Linked DNA regions of Chlamydomonas reinhardtii. Each later gene encodes a partner of the first gene's protein in a complex. Links are inferred from orthologs where the notes say so. Each region holds a gene or a part of one and is shown in the gene's direction. Other genes may lie near its edges.

Evidence for each region.
Region 2: CHLRE_11g468700v5 (region 1) and CHLRE_14g608800v5 share a complex: the UniProt entries of both Arabidopsis thaliana proteins name them as parts of the SGR1-CCE-LHCII complex. The link is inferred for Chlamydomonas reinhardtii from reciprocal best matches to the Arabidopsis thaliana genes HCAR and NOL.

Annotation. Positions count from the first base shown.
Region 1 is NC_057014.1:2,055,492-2,065,046, reverse strand, and holds CHLRE_11g468700v5 (uncharacterized protein), read left to right. Parts: upstream 1-621; 5' UTR 622-713; coding exon 714-769; intron 770-923; coding exon 924-1,192; intron 1,193-1,375; coding exon 1,376-1,436; intron 1,437-1,903; coding exon 1,904-2,006; intron 2,007-2,312; coding exon 2,313-2,383; intron 2,384-2,949; coding exon 2,950-2,998; intron 2,999-3,272; coding exon 3,273-3,338; intron 3,339-3,717; coding exon 3,718-3,753; intron 3,754-3,928; coding exon 3,929-4,014; intron 4,015-4,280; coding exon 4,281-4,361; intron 4,362-4,667; coding exon 4,668-4,803; intron 4,804-5,246; coding exon 5,247-5,300; intron 5,301-5,499; coding exon 5,500-5,562; intron 5,563-5,763; coding exon 5,764-5,811; intron 5,812-6,086; coding exon 6,087-6,191; intron 6,192-6,500; coding exon 6,501-6,544; intron 6,545-6,824; coding exon 6,825-6,963; 3' UTR 6,964-7,457; downstream 7,458-9,555. Other genes in the region: CHLRE_11g468750v5 (uncharacterized protein), read right to left, coding at 262-407; CHLRE_11g468650v5 (uncharacterized protein), read right to left, coding at 8,929-9,315, 9,516-9,555. UniProt on the Arabidopsis thaliana protein: Probable iron-sulfur flavoprotein that converts 7-hydroxymethyl chlorophyll a to chlorophyll a using ferredoxin as a reducing equivalent. Catalyzes the reduction of a hydroxymethyl group to a methyl group. Belongs to the chlorophyll catabolic enzymes (CCEs).
Region 2 is NC_057017.1:172,920-182,356, reverse strand, and holds CHLRE_14g608800v5 (uncharacterized protein), read left to right. Parts: upstream 1-3,749; 5' UTR 3,750-3,887; coding exon 3,888-4,254; intron 4,255-4,491; coding exon 4,492-4,560; intron 4,561-4,930; coding exon 4,931-4,992; intron 4,993-5,460; coding exon 5,461-5,546; intron 5,547-5,767; coding exon 5,768-5,885; intron 5,886-6,276; coding exon 6,277-6,311; intron 6,312-6,725; coding exon 6,726-6,852; intron 6,853-7,105; coding exon 7,106-7,214; intron 7,215-7,440; coding exon 7,441-7,586; intron 7,587-7,935; coding exon 7,936-7,980; 3' UTR 7,981-8,776; downstream 8,777-9,437. Other genes in the region: CHLRE_14g608850v5 (uncharacterized protein), read right to left, coding at 1,233-1,479, 2,040-2,206, 2,703-3,011; CHLRE_14g608788v5 (uncharacterized protein), read right to left, coding at 9,308-9,437. UniProt on the Arabidopsis thaliana protein: Required for chlorophyll b degradation. Chlorophyll b, chlorophyllide b, pheophorbide b and pheophytin b can be used as substrates. Belongs to the chlorophyll catabolic enzymes (CCEs).

The DNA of each region.
Region 1 (9,555 bases):
CACCGGCGTCGCGCACACACCGAGCCTACACGCCCATAATGCATTTGTGAAAGCAAGACGCTGGTGCATTGCCTCGCTAGTCGCGCAGATCGTGGTGCAAGCAAACTTGTGCTCGGGAGGGGCTGCAACGCAGCACCGAGCTCGACAACAGCATTTCGCCCCCGGCCGTCCACCCCTTAAATATAATTCATCCACTTGAGCATTTTTTGAGGCTCAAAGCAGCCATTACAGAAAGAAACGCGAGGTTGCCCCGAAACTCACTTGGGCTGGAGCTTCTCCTCGCTGTCGCCCTTCCAGTTGGCCGCCTGGCAGACCATGCGGCGAGCCACAGGGGCAGTGCGAACAACGGCAACAGCGCTGCGGCGCTGGGCCTGGCCAAACACAACACGCTTCTGGGCCTGCAGCATTTTAAGGGTTTGTTCTGTATAAGGGCAGCTAAAAGCGAGAGGAAATCGTTTCTTACGCAAATTGAGGCAGCTTAAGCGAGCCAGAGCCCACGGTCGCGCCAGCTCATTCCAAGGGACCCACGGGCCTTGCGAGCAAACTGCGCAACTGGAAGGCTGCTAATGCCCGTAATTCGCTACCTTAGTCACTGCATAAACATACATTGCTAAGCACAGGCTGTGCTGGACTCACAAGTTGGCTTGCTGGACCAGTTCACTCGTCGTCTTTGAGCCTCGCGGACCAGAGCACACGCACTGAAGCCAGCACAAATGCTCGGTGCTCACAGCAGCTCGGCGAAGGGTGTCGCTGGGTGCTCGAGGCGCAGGTGAAAGCCTCGTGCATGGAGCAATGCGTGAGGCTCCCGACGTTCATGTCGCATTCTAGAAGGAGGCTTTGACCAAATATACTCAATGCTGCAGAGCGGTGCTCCAGCGATGCCCCACCTCTGACATCACGACACACACTGCTTGCACTTGCAGGGCGAGCCTCGCCGCTGCTCCCGGCGGTGCCCCTGTGCTGCGCGCGCCGCTCCTGCGCCCGCTCTCGGCCACACCTGCCAACTCCTCCTCCTCCTCCGGCGCTTCCTCATCCGCATCCTCTTCCACGCTAGCACCCGACTGGCGCGAGCGCGCCAAGCCAATCCAGCCGGGCAGCAGCTACCCCGCGAAGGAGCACTGCTCCAACTGTGGGCTGTGCGACACGTACTATGTGGCGCACGTGAAAGACGCGTGTGCCTTCCTGGGGCCGGGTAGGGAGCTGAGGGGAGGGGTTCTGAGGAGGGGGGAGCAGGTAATGGGCAGGGGATGGCACCCGGGCAGGGTTGGGGGGAAGGGGGCGCGGAGAGATGGTGGTGTCGACAATTGGGGTACTGCGTTTTCTCAGACTCTGTCACCTGCCCCGACTCTTGACACAAGGTCATCCCTCCATGCAGGCATGTCGCGCATTGATGAGCTGGAGGAGCGCGTGCACGGCCGCCGCCGCGACGTCAACAGGTGGGGCTGTAGATGGGGTGGGGTGGGGTGGAGGGGGGGTTGTAAACACCAGCCCAAACCCAATGCAAACGAGCGAGGAGGAGAGCGTGGGGGAGCCGGGGTAGTCGCAAGCATTCCCACACACGGAGGAGTACTACATGTGCACTAGCGCGTGGCCGTGTGGTGTTGCGGTGTCGCGGCAACGCTCTAGCCGTGAAGCAATGCCTGCGCCATCGCCCGGTGGCGCTGCTCCTATGCTGGCTTGGACTCGTTGCCACGCCAAGCAAATGTCAACGTTTCACATTCCTCACATCACCCCAGGCTCCCAACACAAGTTCCATCGCACACACACACACACACACGCAACATTCGTAAACCGTCGCTTTGCTGCATCGCATACACTGACTTTGTGCAATGTTTTCCTTGTGCTTTTCAACACGCTCAACGCCGCCACTCAACACATACTCCCGCACCCCCCCCCCCCGCAGTGACGACGAGCTCCACTTTGGCGTCACGGCCCCGGGCGGCATGGCCTACGCTGCCAACGTGCCGGGCGTGCCGGGAGCGCAGTGGACCGGCATTGTGACTCAAGTGGGGGTTGGCTGGTGTAGATGGTGGGGTTGGTTGGATGGGTGGATAAGTGGGTGCCTGGGTTGGGATGGGGGTGGTGTTAAGGGAACAACGTCCGCGCCGTGGTCTTGGTATTGCATGGGGTCATGCGTGGGCAATGTCGTACTGATATGCCTCGGCGGGCCGCGCTCCCAACTACCTGTACCAACCGCCCCCACCGCCTCTGCTACTGCGATGCTGCTGCCGTACTGCCAACCGCTTGTCAACCCCTCGCTCCCGTACCCGCCGTACATACTTGCTGCCGCTGCCGTACCGTTACCCATGCAGATCGCCATCGAGATGCTCCAGAGCGGCAAGGTGGACGCGGTGGTGTGCGTGCAGAGCGACGAGAACGACAGGTGGGTGCGCAGGCGGTGGTGGGCGTGTGGGCGTGCCGAAGTGGGCAATGGATCGAATGAGTGACGATCCGAGCCATTCGGCTGTTCGATGGTTGACTTCGTGGCGCCTCGTGGAGCTTCAGAGAGATCAAGGACGCCTGGCCAATCTTGAGGGGCCCCACCGCTCATCCGGCTAAGTCGTCGGCTAACCCGGGGGGTGCGGGCCGCTCGTCCGGCTGGGCGAGCGACTCAGCGCGCTGAGCCCGCAGCCCCCTTCACTGGGCTGAAGCTCTCAGCAGCTGAGCCTTCCGCTCAGCGACCGGAGCTCGCTGAGAGCAGCCGAAACAGCCCGTGTGATCCCTCTACACGTTTGGTCCTGGCAGCGCCTCGACTCCTACTCCTACTCATACTCCTACTGCTCTTAACCTTCTTCTTCAGCCTCTCCGTTGTCAAAGCATAGGCCACGCTGTCCTCGTCGCCCGTTTGCATTGGGATTGCTGTAGGTTGGGACGGCATCTACAGCAGTACAGCCCCACTCCCAGCCCAACCGGCGCCATTCTCCCCCTGCTTGTCCTCCACTCCCGCAGGTTCACGCCAAAGCCCGTGGTGGCTCGCACCGTGGAAGACATCATCAAGGTGTGTGCCGTACATGTTTGTGCGTGGTGTACGTGTTTTTGAGCAAGCATAAAGTAAAGTGTGTGACACGTTTAGCAGGATGCACGAAGAGGAGTGTACGGCATGCCGTGCGTGTATGTGTGCGTGGGGGCCCACGTGGACGCATGCCACCCGTCAGGCCCCGCCAGGCCCCGTCTGCTGCTGACCCGCCCAACCCCACCCTAACCACATTCCAGCCGCCCCAACCATCCGACCAACCGCCCAACCGCCCCAACTGCCCAACCACCCCACACAGGCCCGCGGTGTGAAGCCCACCCTGTCGCCCAACCTAAACGTGCTGGCCACCGTGGAGGCGCTGCAGGTGGGGGTGTGAGGATGACAGGATGTGGTGGTGTGGGGGGGAGGCGCTGCAGGTGGGGGGAGGCGGCGGTGTGTGTGTGAGGAGGAGCTGCAGGTGGGGGAGGCGGTGTGAGGAGGTGGCGGCGTGTATTGGCGGTGTGTGTTCGCGCGAATGAGGCGGCCGAGCTGTGTGCTGCTGCACGCACGTGCGCGGGTTACTCGATCAAACTTGAGTAATGGCCTGAGCATTGGCAAGCTGACCTACGCCGCTGCCGTGCTCCGCTGCCGCCCTCCCCACCACTCGCGTTCCAACGCCTGATGTTTTTTCTTGCTGTCCCCTGATTCCCTGCTTGTATCCTGTTCCCAATGTTTTGTTTAACCTTGAACTCCCCACCCCGCAGGTCAAGAAGCTGCTCTTTATTGGCGTGGGGTGCCAGGTGTGTGTGTGGGGGGGGGGGCCCAGGGGCGCGCAGCACGATCCAACAATGCCACACGTCCCCTGTCACCCCATCCCTCCACCGCCCCTCCACCCCATCCCTCCACCGCCCCTCCACCCCACCCGAACCCCACCCCACCCCACCTGACCCCATCCTCCTCCCCTCCACCGCCCAGGTCCAAGCCCTTCGCTCCATCGAGCCGCACCTGGGGCTGGAGAAGCTGTACGTGCTGGGGACCAACTGCGTGGACAACGGGCCCAGGTGGGAGCTGGCGTGGCGCCTGTCGAAAGGCTTGGATTGGGGCAAGTTAAGGACACGTGTTGAGAACAGGGTCCAAGTGAGCCATCATCACGTGGGGCCAACGCCAACACCCATGATCACCTGTGAGCACCACTTTTCACTTTCCTACACACACACACACACACACACACACACACGTGCGCGCACACACACGCAGGGCTGGCTTTCGTTTCGTTTTTTAACACACATGTGCACACACACACACACACACACACACACACACGCAGGAAGGGCCTGGACAAGTTCCTCAAGGCCGCCAGCACGCGGCCCGACCAGGCCCTGCACTACGAATTCATGCAGGACTACAGGTGGGGAGTGTGGAAAGAGTGTGGGGAGTGTGCGGGCAGCAAGCGGGGGTGCGTTAGGTGTGTACGTGGGGTACGAGTGAGCCGTCCCAAGCCCCAGGGCGCAGCGGCGTGGTTGCAAAAGGAGGTGAGGCATCCCAGTCAAGTGCCCCTCCTGTAAATACACACACACACACACACACACACACACACACACACACACACACACACACACACAAAAGCACACCACTATAACACACAAGCACCCTCATCCCACACAAGCACGCACATCCCCCCCACACACATATATACATACACACGCACACACAGGGTTCACGTGAAGCACACGGACGGGTCGTTTGAGTACGTGCCGTACTTCTGTCTGCCCGCCAACGAGCTGAACGACGTCATCGCGCCCTCCTGCTACTCCTGCTTCGACTACCCCAACGCCTTGGCAGACATGGTGGTGAGAGAGTGGCGTGTGTGGTGGGCGGCATGAGGGGGAGAGGAGATGCGGGCAGGAGCTGTGGGGATGGTGACGGCTGTGTACGGTGCGCGTGTGTTTGTGTGTGAGGGCAGCAAAATGGACACGCCCTACAAGCTGAACTGAAGGCGTACCTGTGCGTGGAGCTTCTTGCATGTCGGCAAGTGTGTGGGTGTGGGTGTGGGTGTGGGTGTGGGTGTGGGTGTGAATGCGAGTGTGAGTCCGCAAGCCGGCTATGGCGTGTCCGGGTGTGTGTATGTGGCTCGTCGTACATCCTCGAAGCCCCGTGTTCCGCCCACCTGCCCTCCCGCCCCTCCCCCCTCCCTCCCGCGACAATTCCATGAATACTGCGACCTAACTCGTTGAGCTCGGGCCTAGAACTTCACATTTTATTAAGCAATCATGAATGTAACCCGCCCCCCCAGGTGGGCTACATGGGAGTTCCCTACCTGAACAAAGACATGACCTCACACCCCCAGGTGCGGGCTGGCGGGTGAAAACGCCGTGCGGCCCGCCAACTACTGCATTGTAATCATGCATAGATTGGAAGCTGTACTTCTGTTGTGATCGCCTGACGCCTGTTGTGAAGAGCAATCCACGTGCCAAAGACCCTGCCTCTTTTAACAATAACCTCAACTCCAAATTAATTAACACCTCCCGACAAACTCCACTGCGCAGTATGTGGTGGTCCGCAACGACCGCGGTAATGAGCTGTTGGACAGCGTGCGGCACCGACTGCAGGTGGGGTGGGCGTGAGGGCAGGAGTGGGAGTGGCGGTAGGAGCGCGCGCGTGCGGTGCAGGCATTGGCGCGCGGGTGTCAGGGTGGGGTTGCGGGCACGAAGGGCACTGAGTAAGGTACTCGGAGATCTCCCCCTCACCCTGAAGCACATGTTCAGTAGTCAGTACCCCTCCCCATGCCACGCTCCTTGCACCCCACGCAGATCACGCCCACCGTCTCCACAGGCGACCGCCGGGGCATTGTGATGCAGGTGCGTGCGCGTGCGGATGTGTATGTTGTGCTGCTTTACCTTGCAGTAAAAGGACTAGATAGCAGCTCACAGACCATCATTCCGCAACACGCCACTACGGTGTGTCTGTTAGAGAGCACAAGGGAAGGGAGCACAGCGCGCAGCACTGTGTACGCGATACCGTGCGACACTCGCGGCATTTCCGCTCGCATACATGTTTCTTTACTTGCACCTGTCCATGCGTGTACTTGCCATGCCCCCGCCCCCCCCCCCCCGCCGTTCGCCCGCACACACAGACGGTGGCCAGCGATGATGAGGCCAAGATGGGCCAGCTGCGGGACCCCGCGCCGCGCTGGCTGGGCAACATGCTGGCCTGGCTGCTCAACCTGATCGGGCCCAAGGTGGGGAGGGAGGGAAGGGCGAGTGAGGGAGGGAGGGTGAGGGCGAGTGGGAGTTACGTGGGAGCGGGTGGAACGGAGGGCGGGAGGGAGAGCGGGTGGGAGTGACGCGAGTGTGCGGGGAACCTGTAGGGCAGCGGGGGCATGACTCGAGCCTGTCAACATGTACGGGCAGCACTGCCGCTGCTGTCGCCCACCGCACATTCCTTCTGCGCCAGTCGTGTCTCCTGGCGTGTCTCCTGTCTTGTCTCCTGTCTTGATAGTTTAACGATGTTGTGCCCTGGCTGTGCTGTTTATCTGTTCCTGCGTCAGGGTCTGGAGTTCGGCAAGTACTCCATCGACTACCACTACATCAGGTGCGGGCGGGGCAGAGGAGTCGGGCGTGCGGCGGGAGGGGCGGCGGGCCCGGGCCGCCGCGGCTGGGTGTGGTGTAATGCGGGTCAGTGTGGGACTGCATGGCACAAACACACAGGCTCGGAGCCTCGCACAGCCTCATTGACGAAATTAGCTGACATGTCACTGTATCATTGATTACCGCATAAGGCCGCCCAAACGGAGTCAGCCGAGTCAACCGAGTCAACCGAGTCAACGCAACCAACCACGCAATCAACCGCCCCTGCCCCACGCGCCACACAGGAACTACTTGTACGTCAACCGCAAGTGGGGGGCCAAGCGCGCCGAGCAGCACATTCCCTCCTTCGCCAAGAAGATCGTGCAGCAGTACGACAAGGACGGGGCCGTGAGCAAGCGCATCAGCCTCAAGCCCAAGTTCTAGTCTATACTCGCATCATTGTGAATTAAGGTTATGAGTTGAGGTGGAGGCTGAGTCCCCGTCAGGGGCTTAAAATAGAGTTCTTTACAGTTTCGCTGGGTTGTGGCGGGGTACGGTGTGGGACACGGGTATGTGTGGGTTACTTATGGGGGCTGACCGGCGTGCCTTGTGGCAGAGGAATGAACTCGAAATTGCACGGCGCGGTGGAGGGAATAACGACACTCTACTCGAATCGATGCTCGCAGGATGGGGCCGAAATGCGCGTTGCATGGTGTTGAGGAGCGGTCATCGTACTGATAAGTAGCGGTTTGGCTCAGAGTAGTACCTATCTATTAGACCTCGTAATTGCAAGACAAGACGACGACGTGTAGAGTATTCTATAGGAAGCAGGCCGGATTGAGGTGCGTGCTTGCCATGGGCACCGTGGCACACTGGCACCAGCACCGGCACCGTGGTACCCACGCATACCATGCTTACTGACATTCCCGCAATTTAAACTCGGCACGCTACGTTTCCGGGGTGGGAAACCACGCCAGTCAAGATGCGTGGGCATGGCACCCCAAGATGCCTGGGCGGACCAGCCCCGCCAGTCGAGATACGTGGACATGCCGACATGGCTCCCCAAGATGCCTGCGCAGGGCTACCCCAGCAACCTCAGATGCGCGTGCGCGGGGGTCAGGTTGCCTCTGGAACTTAGCTGCCAGACCAGACCCCCCCGCCAGATGCCTGCGCTAGGCAACTTTCCCACCCTCCGTACGACATTGTTACCACACATGAGAGACAGTGAGCAAGTGAGGCAGTCTGCACCAAGGTCAGCACGCACGGGTCTGGCATCATTATCTGGCGGTGAGCGTGAGAGCTGCGTACGCATCTGAGGTTGGTTCCCAAAGGAGTAGTGGGAAGAGCAAGGGAAGACAAGCTGGGCTGGTCACGTGCTGCACTGCGCCGCACTGCGCTGCACTACCGTACTGCGCTGCACTGCAGTACTGCACAAGTGCACAGGAGGCAATAGAGTGCACATAGCCAAGCCCAGTACATCGTCCAGCTGCCCAGTACGTCTTCCTGGAGGGTCGGAGTGAGAGAGCTTGGTCGGCTGGTCGGTTACAACCATCACGACCAAGCCACGTATGCTCACTCTGCACAGGCTCTGCAGTCTGCACAGGCTCAGCAGATTCCCAGTCTCGCGAGTGAAGCCCGTTTCATAGCAGCTGCAATGCCGTAATCTTCACGCTGAGGTCGTACAGGTCGCCACAACTGCTGCAACCATAACTGCCGGTAGTGCGGTTACTACGAGCTGACAGTGCCACCACGTAGCGCAACTAGCCTGGTCAAATCGTCTAACAGAACAGCTTGGGGTTCGGCCAACTGTAGGGTACGTGTCCTTACCGTGCATCACTAACGAACCCGCCTCCACACCACATCACAACATGCGTGACAAAAGCAAAGCCGGCTGTCAATCAAACTCACACTGACGCCCTGAATGCCGGTCCAGCCAGGTAGGGGGGCCCGCAGCCCCGCAGCAGCAGCCCTGTCTAGCCAGACGCCGGCAGCCAATGTCGTAAACACTTCTCCTGGACCAAGCGGTGTCGTTAAGACCCAAATCTATACATCATACCGGCACACAAGATTCCCAAATATTCCTCGCAACAAGAAAAGTGTCTCCCAGAACGTGGGCTGCGTCCACTACTCGCCCGTCTGAGGCTGAAGGTTCCAAAAGTACGGTACCTCACCTCCCGGACATGACCAGGACAGTTCGTACAGGCACCGCCCGCGTTAGGCTGGTATATATGGTACTCGGCTTGCGTGTGTGGTAACAGCGTTGCGCCTTGGGCGCTTTACCCGCAACAGTCACATGTCCATCCATTCGCGCAGCTGCTCCTCGCAAACACACGCTTCACGGCACTTCATAAATGGCACATGAACAGAACGTCCCATCACATCACACAACATCACGCCGACCCACCAGGACTACACGCCCTCGGCGACACCGCCGGCGCCCTCGGCCGGCGCCCCGCCCACCACCTCCTCGGCCGCGGCGACCAGCTCCGCCAGCCAGTCTATGCGCGCGGGGGCATTCTTGTTTCCGTACCTCCTGCACCTGGCGAGCAGCTCCCTGAGAGCTGCATGCAGCCCAGGCGTCCACTGCACCTGCTCCTGCTGGCCTTGCCCGCCGCCCATACCCACAGCCCACTGCAGCTCCGCTATTACGGCAGTCCCACTACGTGCATCCTCAAACACCAGGCTCTCGACCAGCTCCTGCCTGGACGTCGCCACCAGGCCGTAGCGCACCAGCCAGTCCGCCGCCGCCCAGTTGCCGCCGCGCAACACCTGCCGGAACGCGCTGCAGGACAGCGGCTGCAGCGATGCAACAATGGAGCAGAGCGCGGGGGCGGGGGATAGGAATAGACCAGATGTTGCATAGGCAAAACGGAAGGCAGGGGATTATGGGCCTGTGCAATCACACCGCCGCCTGCTGGTGAATATATCTGCACTCAAGCAGGTCAACGCGGCGTGTCAGCTCTGCCATTGCCTACCCCACCCATCCCTCCACCCACCTCCGGCGCCTCCCCAGCAGCTGCGGTCAGCGCCGCCACC
Region 2 (9,437 bases), on another chromosome or scaffold:
GGCCTGCGTTGATTGAGCCTGTACTACGCGAGTTGGTTGATGCCATCGTTTAAATATGGTTCAAACTCAAAGGTTGTCTTGATTGTCAACTGTGCCACAGGGGTGGCAATGCATGTTGCAGGTACACGTATGCTTTATGATCAAGTGCTGACGGGAGCTTGGCATGGTGGTCCAAAGAGGCAAAGACGCCAAGATGGGGTTTCCGTGTCCTTCTCCCCCCACCCCCAACCCCCAACCTTCCCCCCGGCCCCCTGCTCATCTATGGTGTATCCAAGACTTGCTTGCTTGTTGACTGCCGTGCACTCAAGTACAAGTAAGTAGAACTGGTGTGGATTTAGGCGCAAAAACTGGGTGGTCGAAAAACCATGCTTCCGCGAATGGTCAACATTAGCAGCCTTACGTTTGCACAAGGAATAGACAGCGGTCGCCATCAGGGAGACCCCGAGGGAGACCCCGACCTCGCGACCTCGCGACCTCGCGAAAGTCAAGTCATGTACATGGACTCGCGAGGTCGCTTCTCGCTCCGGCCGAGTTTTCCCTGCCGCCTATTTTTTTCTACAATAGGGAATAGCAATTCATGCCATGTGCAACTGAAAACGGAGCATATGGACGGGATCAACTACACGGTTTGCCTGATCACCCCTGGCCCATCGGCACGGCGCGACGGTCAGCACAACTACTTGCGGATGAGGTCTGGCGCCCCGCCATCCGCTGGCTAAATCTACACGGTGCTGTGTCGCTTGCTCTCTTCCGACTACAGTGGGCCACCTTCCAGGGTCGCGCAAGATTTGCCAAAGCCCCCATCCCAAGTGCACCAACCCCGGCCCCCCGCTCGATACCCCCCATGCCTGCACACACATCAACTGCAGATCAACCTCACATACACCGCCCCCAAGGCCACGCACGACTCGTCCGCAAACGTTTGACTCGCCCACAGGCGCTGCACCAGTGGCTTTGTGGAGCGACACATCACCACTCCCACACGCATCCTGCGTGCCGTATCCAAGCATTAGGGCTTCCTAGACACCCGTCATCCCCTGCAGGCAGCTCCCCCAGGCCGGCCCGGGCAACACAGCTGCAGCAGCTCCACGCCTCTATCTCCACCTCGCCCTCCGCACATCCAGCACCCGCGCGCTACTGCTGCTCCTGCTCCTTGCCTCCACACCGCCCAACCGAACCCCTCCTCCTCCCATCCCACCTCAATCCCCCTCGCCATACTCCCCGCCCCCCTCCTACTCCAGCTGCATCATGACTGCCGACAGCTGCTCCAGCGCCGCCAGCGTGTCCAGCTCCCCCCGGCCCGAGGGAGGAGGAACCACCTCCACAACCACTGCAGTAGCAGCAGCAGCAGCAGCCCCCGCCTCGCCCCCAGCGGCAGCAGCAGCAGCAGCGGGCCGCCAGCCGCGGCCGGCGGCGGCCGCCAGTGCGTCGGCCTCGCCGCAGCCGCACAGGGCCGCCAGACGGGCCGCGCTGATGTGGCTGCGGCGGTGGGAGGGAGGGGCGATGGGCAGGACGGGAGGCGCGTGTGAGAGATGTGGAGTGCACGTGAGCAGTGAGCGGTGCATTGTGATGGTGGCTCACCGGCGTTCGTGCACAAGCGGCCCAGCGGCCACAGCAGCACAGCACGGCAACCCGCCCACACGCCTTCACCACCACATTAACGGACAACAACACGTCGTACACCCCTCCTCGCCGCCCTGTTTGCACCCCTCCCCCTCCCCCTATCTCAACACCTTCCGAGCCTACCCCAGCCCGCCCCAAGCGCCCACAGCCGCCTGACCACCACAGTTTGCGCTCTAAATTCGCCCCCTCATGGGGATGGCGAAAAGGACCCCCCCCCCTCCCGCGGTGCCCCTCGCCCTGCTGCTCCACGACACCTCGGCCCCCTCCCATAAGAAGTCCCGCTTGCATTTGTCGCCTCTGCCTGTGCTCCGCTAGTTCAACTTGCTTTGGGCTGGTATTTACACCCCCCGCCTTGGTCCCCCTATTGGGCTCGGCCACAAAACCCTTCCCCCCCCAAAACCGCCGCCCCCCCTCACCTGTAGGCCTGCTCCACCAGGTCCAGCTGCCTCGCGCGCAGCCGCTCCGCCAGCGCCTCCACCAGCTGCCCCGCCGGCCCCGACCAGGGGTGGCCGCGCAGTGCCCGCCACACGCCCTCGCCGCTGCCCTGCCAGGCGCACTGCAGCAGCCGAGCCGCGGCAGCCACCTGGGGTGGAGGCGGGTGTGTGCACGCACGGGGGGGGCGGCAGGGGCGTGTGAGGGGGGCACAGGGGCGTTGGGATGCACAGGAGCGGGCAGACAGGCCCTGCGGGCGCGTGAGCTTTGGCCAACAGGAAGTACAGGCGGCGTCGCATGGCGGTGCAAAGCTGGAGACGGCAACACGTGCCCCTACTCTGTCCGCCCCTGGCGCTGCTCTCGACCGCCCATCATGGCAGGGACTGGGTTGCGCCGCCGTCTCCACGCCCAACTCCCCTCGCTCGCCCTGCCCGCCAGTTCAGTGCTGTGGAGCAAAGAACGGATTCCGGGCATGCACACACGCCAGCCCCCCAGCCCCCCCCCCAGCTCGCCCCCAACAGACCACCAGCCGCCCAGCCGCCTCATGGGCAGTGTGCCAACAACCCCCAGCCCCTCCACACCGCCTCCGACAGCTCCTCACCACCACCACCAGTACCACCTCCCCACCACCACCACCGCCGGCCCACCTGCGGGTCGGCCCTGACCCCCTCGGGCATGCGCTTGAGCAGCAGCCGCGCATCCGCCAGGTTGCCCGCATACACGTGCGACAGCAGGTGCAGCGCAGCAGGCCAGGGCGCAGCAGCGCCGCCGTCGGCGCCTGCAGCGACGCCCGCTGCTCCGCCGCCCGCGGCTGGTCCGCCGCCTCCTCCCTCGGCAGCTGCGCCCCAGGGCGCCAGCGCGGCTAGCTCCGCCTCATCCAGCAGCCCGCACACGCCGCCGTAGTCGCCCGCCGCCAGGGCCGCTCCCACGCGCTCCATCACGCCCGCGGCCGCCATTGCTGCTGCTGGTGAGTCTGTAGTGCTGTGTGGCTGTGCGCGGCTATAGATGGATGCGCAGTGCCTGGGGTCTGTGCCGTGGTGCCAACAAAGGAAAGAGCTGGGTGTGGCGCTACAAGCCGCCTTGCTCCGTAGCGGTGGTGCCGCGGCAGGCCTGTGTAGTAGCTGTGCCGCACACAGAGGCTGCAAGAGGCGCGTTTGTGCAGGCGGGAGGAATGCGGGCGGGCGGTCGCGCAGTGTCAGGGTCGGCGGGCATGGACGGAGAGCCCGGAGAGGTGTCCGAGCGGAAGGCAACGCATGATAGCGATATGGCTCACCCCAGCCAGCCTCACAAACATACCCTCCCAAGATACAAGCCGCACGTACCAAGCCGGTGAGCGCGAGACGCTGTGCTGCTCACAGATCCCTCCACTGCGCGCAAGTTAAGTTTTTCCTCTTGCAACGCAGTTTGCACTAATCGCTTTTATTGTATGTAAATGCTGAATAATATCAACAGTCGGGAGGATCGCAGGTCTGGGAAACGCAAACTCCCGAGGACGCGGTTTGTTGTATTGTCCCGTGCTATTTCTTCCCGCAACGGGTAGAAATGAGAAGCAGTATGTCAAATGCGCTTACGGAAAGGAAGGGAAGGTCAGAACAGCAGGGGCCCTCGATTGCATCATGCAGGTTTCGCTCGCTCTCAGCCATCTGGGCTTCTTGCCTCACCGTGCCAACTCGTTGGCTTATAAACGAACTTGTGGTAACGTTTTGGCGCACTCGGTCTGCTTATCAACGCCCTCTATTGGATTCTACTCGCTCTTTGTTTGTTCCTTCTACGTGCGTGACCAACCACCCCAGCGATCCAACCCAGTCGTCATTTCAATTGTACCGTTAGCCATGATGCTATCGCAGCGCTCGGGCGTTGCCGCGAAGGCTCACGCGTCAACTGCTCGCGCCATCAACCCCAACGCTGTGGCATCACTTGCGGCTAGCGCACGCGGCGGCCCCGCCAGCACCAGCAGCTTCGGCGCCGCAGGACTTGCCCGCGCCTCGCCCGCGCGTCGCGGGCTTGCGCAGGGCGGGAGCGCGGCTGCACGCCGCGCCCGCCGCAGCGTCACGGTGACGCGCGCGGCCACCCAGCAGACCGAGAAGCCAACCGCCGCGGCCAACGGCACCCCCGCAACCGCCACCAACGGTAACGGTGGCGGCAAGGCGGTTGCGCCCCAGGCGCCGTACAACGTGGTTATCACCGGCTCCACCAAGGGTGAGAGCGACCCAGTCGCTGGGGAGGGTGACGGTGGCGGGGGGCGGAGCGGTGGCGAGGTGGCGAATGGGCTGCAGAGGGTGATGGTGGAGACGTGGCGGACGGGTGGGGGAAAGGTGGCGGAGAGGTGGCGAGGTGGCGAAGGGGCTGTCAGGGTGGGCTTGAGGATGCGCATTATCGCTGTGTGTCTGTGTGGACCCAGTCCGCTCTCCCCTGCCTGCTGCCCCCCTGCCCTAGGCATCGGCCGCGCGCTGGCCGAGGACTTCCTGCGGGCGGGCGACCGCGTGGTGGTCTGCAGCCGTACCGGTGAGGCGGGGTGTGGGTGGGTGGGAAACCAACCCAACGTAAACCCAAACCAACGATAAAAAGCGAGGAGGAGACCAAACCAAACTGAGCTAGCGCAGTACAGGCACAGGCGACAGGTGCACAGGGTTAGTTAATTCCAGTCCCAAAGACACCAAAACCCAGAACGCAAGGGGGTTACTTTCGCCCATCCCACGAGTGAAGAAAGAATAGGCGGTCGTCGAGGGCTTCCGGAGCTCGGGCGGTCCGCTGGTCTGCTATTGCAGGGCCTGCACGGGTGCATGTGGGCCCACCACCACCGCCACCACCACGACCTGACCACCACAACCACCACCACCACCTGCGCGCTCTCGCCTCTACACCCGCACCCAAGGTGACCGGGTGTCTGAGACGGTGGCTGAGCTGGCAGCGCAGTACGGCGCTGACCGAGTCAAGGTGAGGGGGCGGTGGTGTTTTGGGGGGAGGGCGGGAGGTTTGCCGTCCATGGGGGTGGGAGCACTGGGGTGGAAGTTAGTTAATTCTGGGGTGGGGAGGTAGTTTGTTCTTAACCCCGACGAAAGCAAGGCCCAGCCAGCCCACAGAGCACGAAGCGGGATTCTATGCCCGAGCCCAACAGGGTTTATGTATCTGGGCCCAATGATAAAATCCCAGGGGGGAATAGCCGTCCACGGAGGGACTAGAACCGGAAGCGGCTGGGGGCAGGTGGGGGTTGAGGGTTGGAGACTTGGGGGCGAAACACAGGGGGGCTGCATGCGGGGCTGTCGGGTCGTGACATCCCCGAGTGTGGATGCATGCGGTCCGATTGATTGCGCAAGGGAGGGGAACGCGTTGGGTACGTGTGCATGTATGTGTGTTTTTGGAAACATGAACGGTGCGTGGCTTATGAACCCGCCACCCCTGCAGGGTCTGGCGGTGGACGTGTCTGCCCCCGGTCAGGCGCGGCAGCTGGCGGACTTTGCGGCGCAGGAGCTCGGGCGCGTGGACATCTGGTACTGAGGGGGAGAGCTGGGGGAGGGCTGGGGGCAGGCGGGCAGACGAGGGGGGGGGAGGGGGGGTCGAGAACCGGAGCCTGTGCTGGAGCGCCTGCCTGCCTGCCTGCCTGGAGGGGAGGGCGCTCCCTCTTGTCGCCTGTGCCGACACGCCCTCTCAACCCCACCTCCCACCTCCACCACCCCCACCTCCTCCACCTCCCGCCTCCTGCGCCCGCCAGGATCAACAACGCCGGCACCAACGCCTACCGCTACGGCCCCATGGCCGAGTCCACCGACGAGGAGCTGAGTCAGATCGTGGGCACCAACGTGCTGGGCGTCATGCTGTGCTGCAAGGAGGTGGGGTGGGGGGGTGAGGGGTGAGGGTGGGATGGGGTGGATGGGATAGGGGGGGTGGGATGGGGGTGGGATGGGCGGGATGTAAATACCAGCCCACTCTCAAGAAGCCAAACTAGCAGAGCACAGGGTACATGGGAAGGGCTTACATCAGGCTTACATGGGCCACCCCCAGTGAAGGGAGGCACGGGACAAGGGCGGCTAGGGGTGGGGGCAGCTGGGGGGAAGGAAAAGGCAGGGGATGCAGAAGCATTGCTCGCCATCCCTCCCTTTGGCTGTCCGCCTTTGGCGAGACAAAGCACGGGGCGCGGGGGCTCGAGTGGACTTTGGACCTGCCAAACCACGCTGTGTATGCGTACGTGTACGGCGTGTGTGTGTCGTACTCTGCCCGCAGGCCATCCGCGTGATGCGCAGCCAGAGCACGCACGGGTGAGCTGCAGCGGGGGAGGGGGCGCCGGCACGGCCAGCTTCCACCGCGCGGGTTAGCCCACCGTGCACGCACATGCAGAGCGATTTACCAGTCAACCTTAATGCCCCATGCCTGCGTGCTGCCTTCTGGTTCCCTGTACCCCTTTCCCCCTGTAACTCGCTAGCTGAGTTTGCTTTGGTTTAGCTTATGCTGGAGTTGACAACCCACCCGACACCCTGAACCGTTCACATGAATGGCTACCCCCCCCCCCCCACCCCCACACCCCCACCCCCACACACAACCCCACTCCCCCCCCCCCTGGAGCGCGGCCGCCCGGACGGCCGCTCATGTGGTAACGACTTCGTCTGCAGTCTTCAGTGCATCCTGTACCGCTTTTCCAAACATCCTTGCAACCCCCCTCGCCCCCCACGTAGCCACATCTTCAACATGGACGGCGCGGGCGCGGACGGCAACGCCACGCCGCGCTTCGCCGCGTACGGCGCCACCAAGCGCTCGCTGGCGCAGCTGGGCAAGAGCCTGAGCGCGGAGCTGGGCATGCTGGTGAGAGGGGAGGGAGGAGGAACGAGGGAGGGGAGAGAGGAGAGAGGGGGGGAGCCAGGGGGAAGAGGGGAGAGGGGAGAGGAGGGGCCTGTGTACGCGAGGCTGTAGGAGGTTTCATACTACGCGCAGCTAGATGAACGGAAGCCTCCTTTCAACCTTCGTGTCACATACACACACACACACACACACACACACACACACACACACACACACACACACACACCTTCTGCCTCCCACCCCCCACCCCCCGCAGGGCATCAAGAATGTGGCTGTGCACAACCTGTCGCCAGGCATGGTCACCACCGAGCTGCTCATGGCGGGCGCCAACACGCCCACCGCCAAGTTCTTCATCAACTGCCTGGGTGCGTGTGGGGCGTGTGTGTGTGGGGGGGGTTGGGGCGGGGTGGGTGGATGTCTTTGTAGGTGCATCAGATGTCAAGACGGTGTGTAAAGGTGTGTGTATTGGCGTGCGCAATGGAGTGCAAGTAGTCCAACCAATCGCGGACCGCCACTCACCCGGCCCTCTGCTGCCCATCCCTTCCTTCCTCCCCTTCCTCCCTTCCCCCTTCCTCCGGTCCCCCGCTACAGCCGAGCCCGCCGCCGACGTGGCCTCCTTCCTGGTCCCCCGCATCCGGGCCGTGCCTGCTACAGCCGCCAGCCCGCTGACCGGCGCGCTACAGCCGGTCTACATCCGCTTCCTCACACAGGGCAAGGCGCTGCAGCGGGTGGCGGCGGTGAGTGGTGGGCTGGAGGGTTGTGCCGGAGGGGCGGGGGAGGGGGCTGGTTGGGGGGCGGGGAAGGCATGGGTTTGAGGGCGGGCGCACGCCGGCGGACGGGTTTGGCAGGCTACCCGAGTGTGCCCTTCCCATGTACGGGGAAAGACCCTAGAGAAACTGCTGAATCCTCGGCACATGGTTTGCGTGTCGGGAGAGCATACCATCGGCCCCCGGCTTTCAACGATGCCTCCCGTGACTCATGGGGCGGGAACTTTAACTGCAACAGCTGCGCGCCCATTCCGCCTCCACCTCCTTCGCTGACCCCCACGCCCACCCGTCCCCCCCCTCCACCCGCACCGCCTGACAGCGGCTGCTGACGGGCTCGCGCAAGAGCCGCTACGTGGAGGAGTGAGGCGGCAGAGCGAGGCGGCCGAGTGAGGCGGAGGAGTGAGGCGGCAGAGTGAGGCGGCAGAGTGGGGCAGGCGGCCGAGTGAGGCGGACGAGTGGATCTGCCGAGTGAGGGAGCTGGCCGTGACGGGAAAGGGGGCGATCGAGGGCGGGGGCCGGTGGCGGACGATGGAGGGGGCCAGATGAGCGGGGGAAAGGGCGGCGGCAGCGTCGTGGATGAGCTGGGGTGGGGAGTGGGGGCGATGAGGCAGGGTAAGGGGCGGGTCGGCGTGGTCCCGTACTGTGCAGCGTATTCCCAGAAACCCACGAGCGAGTGGGAACCAGTGACGGGAGCGGCGGCGGCGTAAATACCGGCCCAAACTGAACCAAACCAGCGGAGCACAATCAGCACAGGTAGAGGCGACAGTTGCAAGGGGGTTGCTGCGTGGAGCCACGGCCGTGGCCTTGTGTGTACCGTGTACCGTGCAGTGCAGGCGTGCGGGGGAGCGGGAGGCCAGGACAGGCCAGGGGCTGGGGGAGGCTGACTGGCTGAGGCAGGCCACGGCTGTGGCGCAGCTGGGGGCGGGGATGCTGGGGCACGGCGTCCCCCAGGCGGGCCGTGTGACTGAATATTGGCGCGGCACGTGATACAGCACAATGGTTTCCACACATTCTTGTGTTGGATCAGGGATACTTGGTGGTATAAAACGGAATGGTGATGCCATTGGATGCACTTTGATGGCTTGCGGCGTGAATGGCAGCTGACTGTATTGACAAGGCAGTGAGGTCTGGGGCTGGGAAGCTGGATGAACGAATGCTCGCCAACAAGTTGAAAGCTCTTGGGCAGCGGTTGGGACACTGGGTAGGACAGGGCAGTCGGTGCCGGGGCATTGGTACCACGCCCTCAACCCGTCAACGGTCCTCAACCGTCCGCACCGCCGTGGCCAGTTGGCACGGCTCGCAGCATCCCACAGGCCCAGCCGCGCCGCCGTGGTCTCCCCGACCTGTCAAGCCACATCGCCGCCCTGCAGCCGCCACACAGCCCACGTCGCACCACTGCCCCCTGTCCCAGTGTGTGTGGGCCCCCATGGGCCCTCCAGCACCTGCAGCGGAGTGCCTCCTGCTGCTGTGACCCGTGCTGCACCTGTCCCTCCTGCCCTGCCCCGCTCCACCACCGCTGCAGGTGGTCTTTCAGCACAAGCCCGCACCTCTACTTCCCATCTACCCCCCCATCGCCATGCCGCACGCACACCCAGCGCTCCGAGCTGAGCTACCGTACTGCCATCCAGCCGGGCCTACAGCACCACCCCTAGCTCCACCAGCACCAGCACCAGCACTCTCACCGCATCGCCTCACAGGTCGCGTTTGTCCCCCCGCACCTCCAACCCCAGGCTCTCCGCCCGCACATCCCCCGCCCCAACCGCCCCCAAACTCCCCCCACTCCCCCTGCCCTCCACTCCCCCTCCTCCCCCTCCCCCTCCT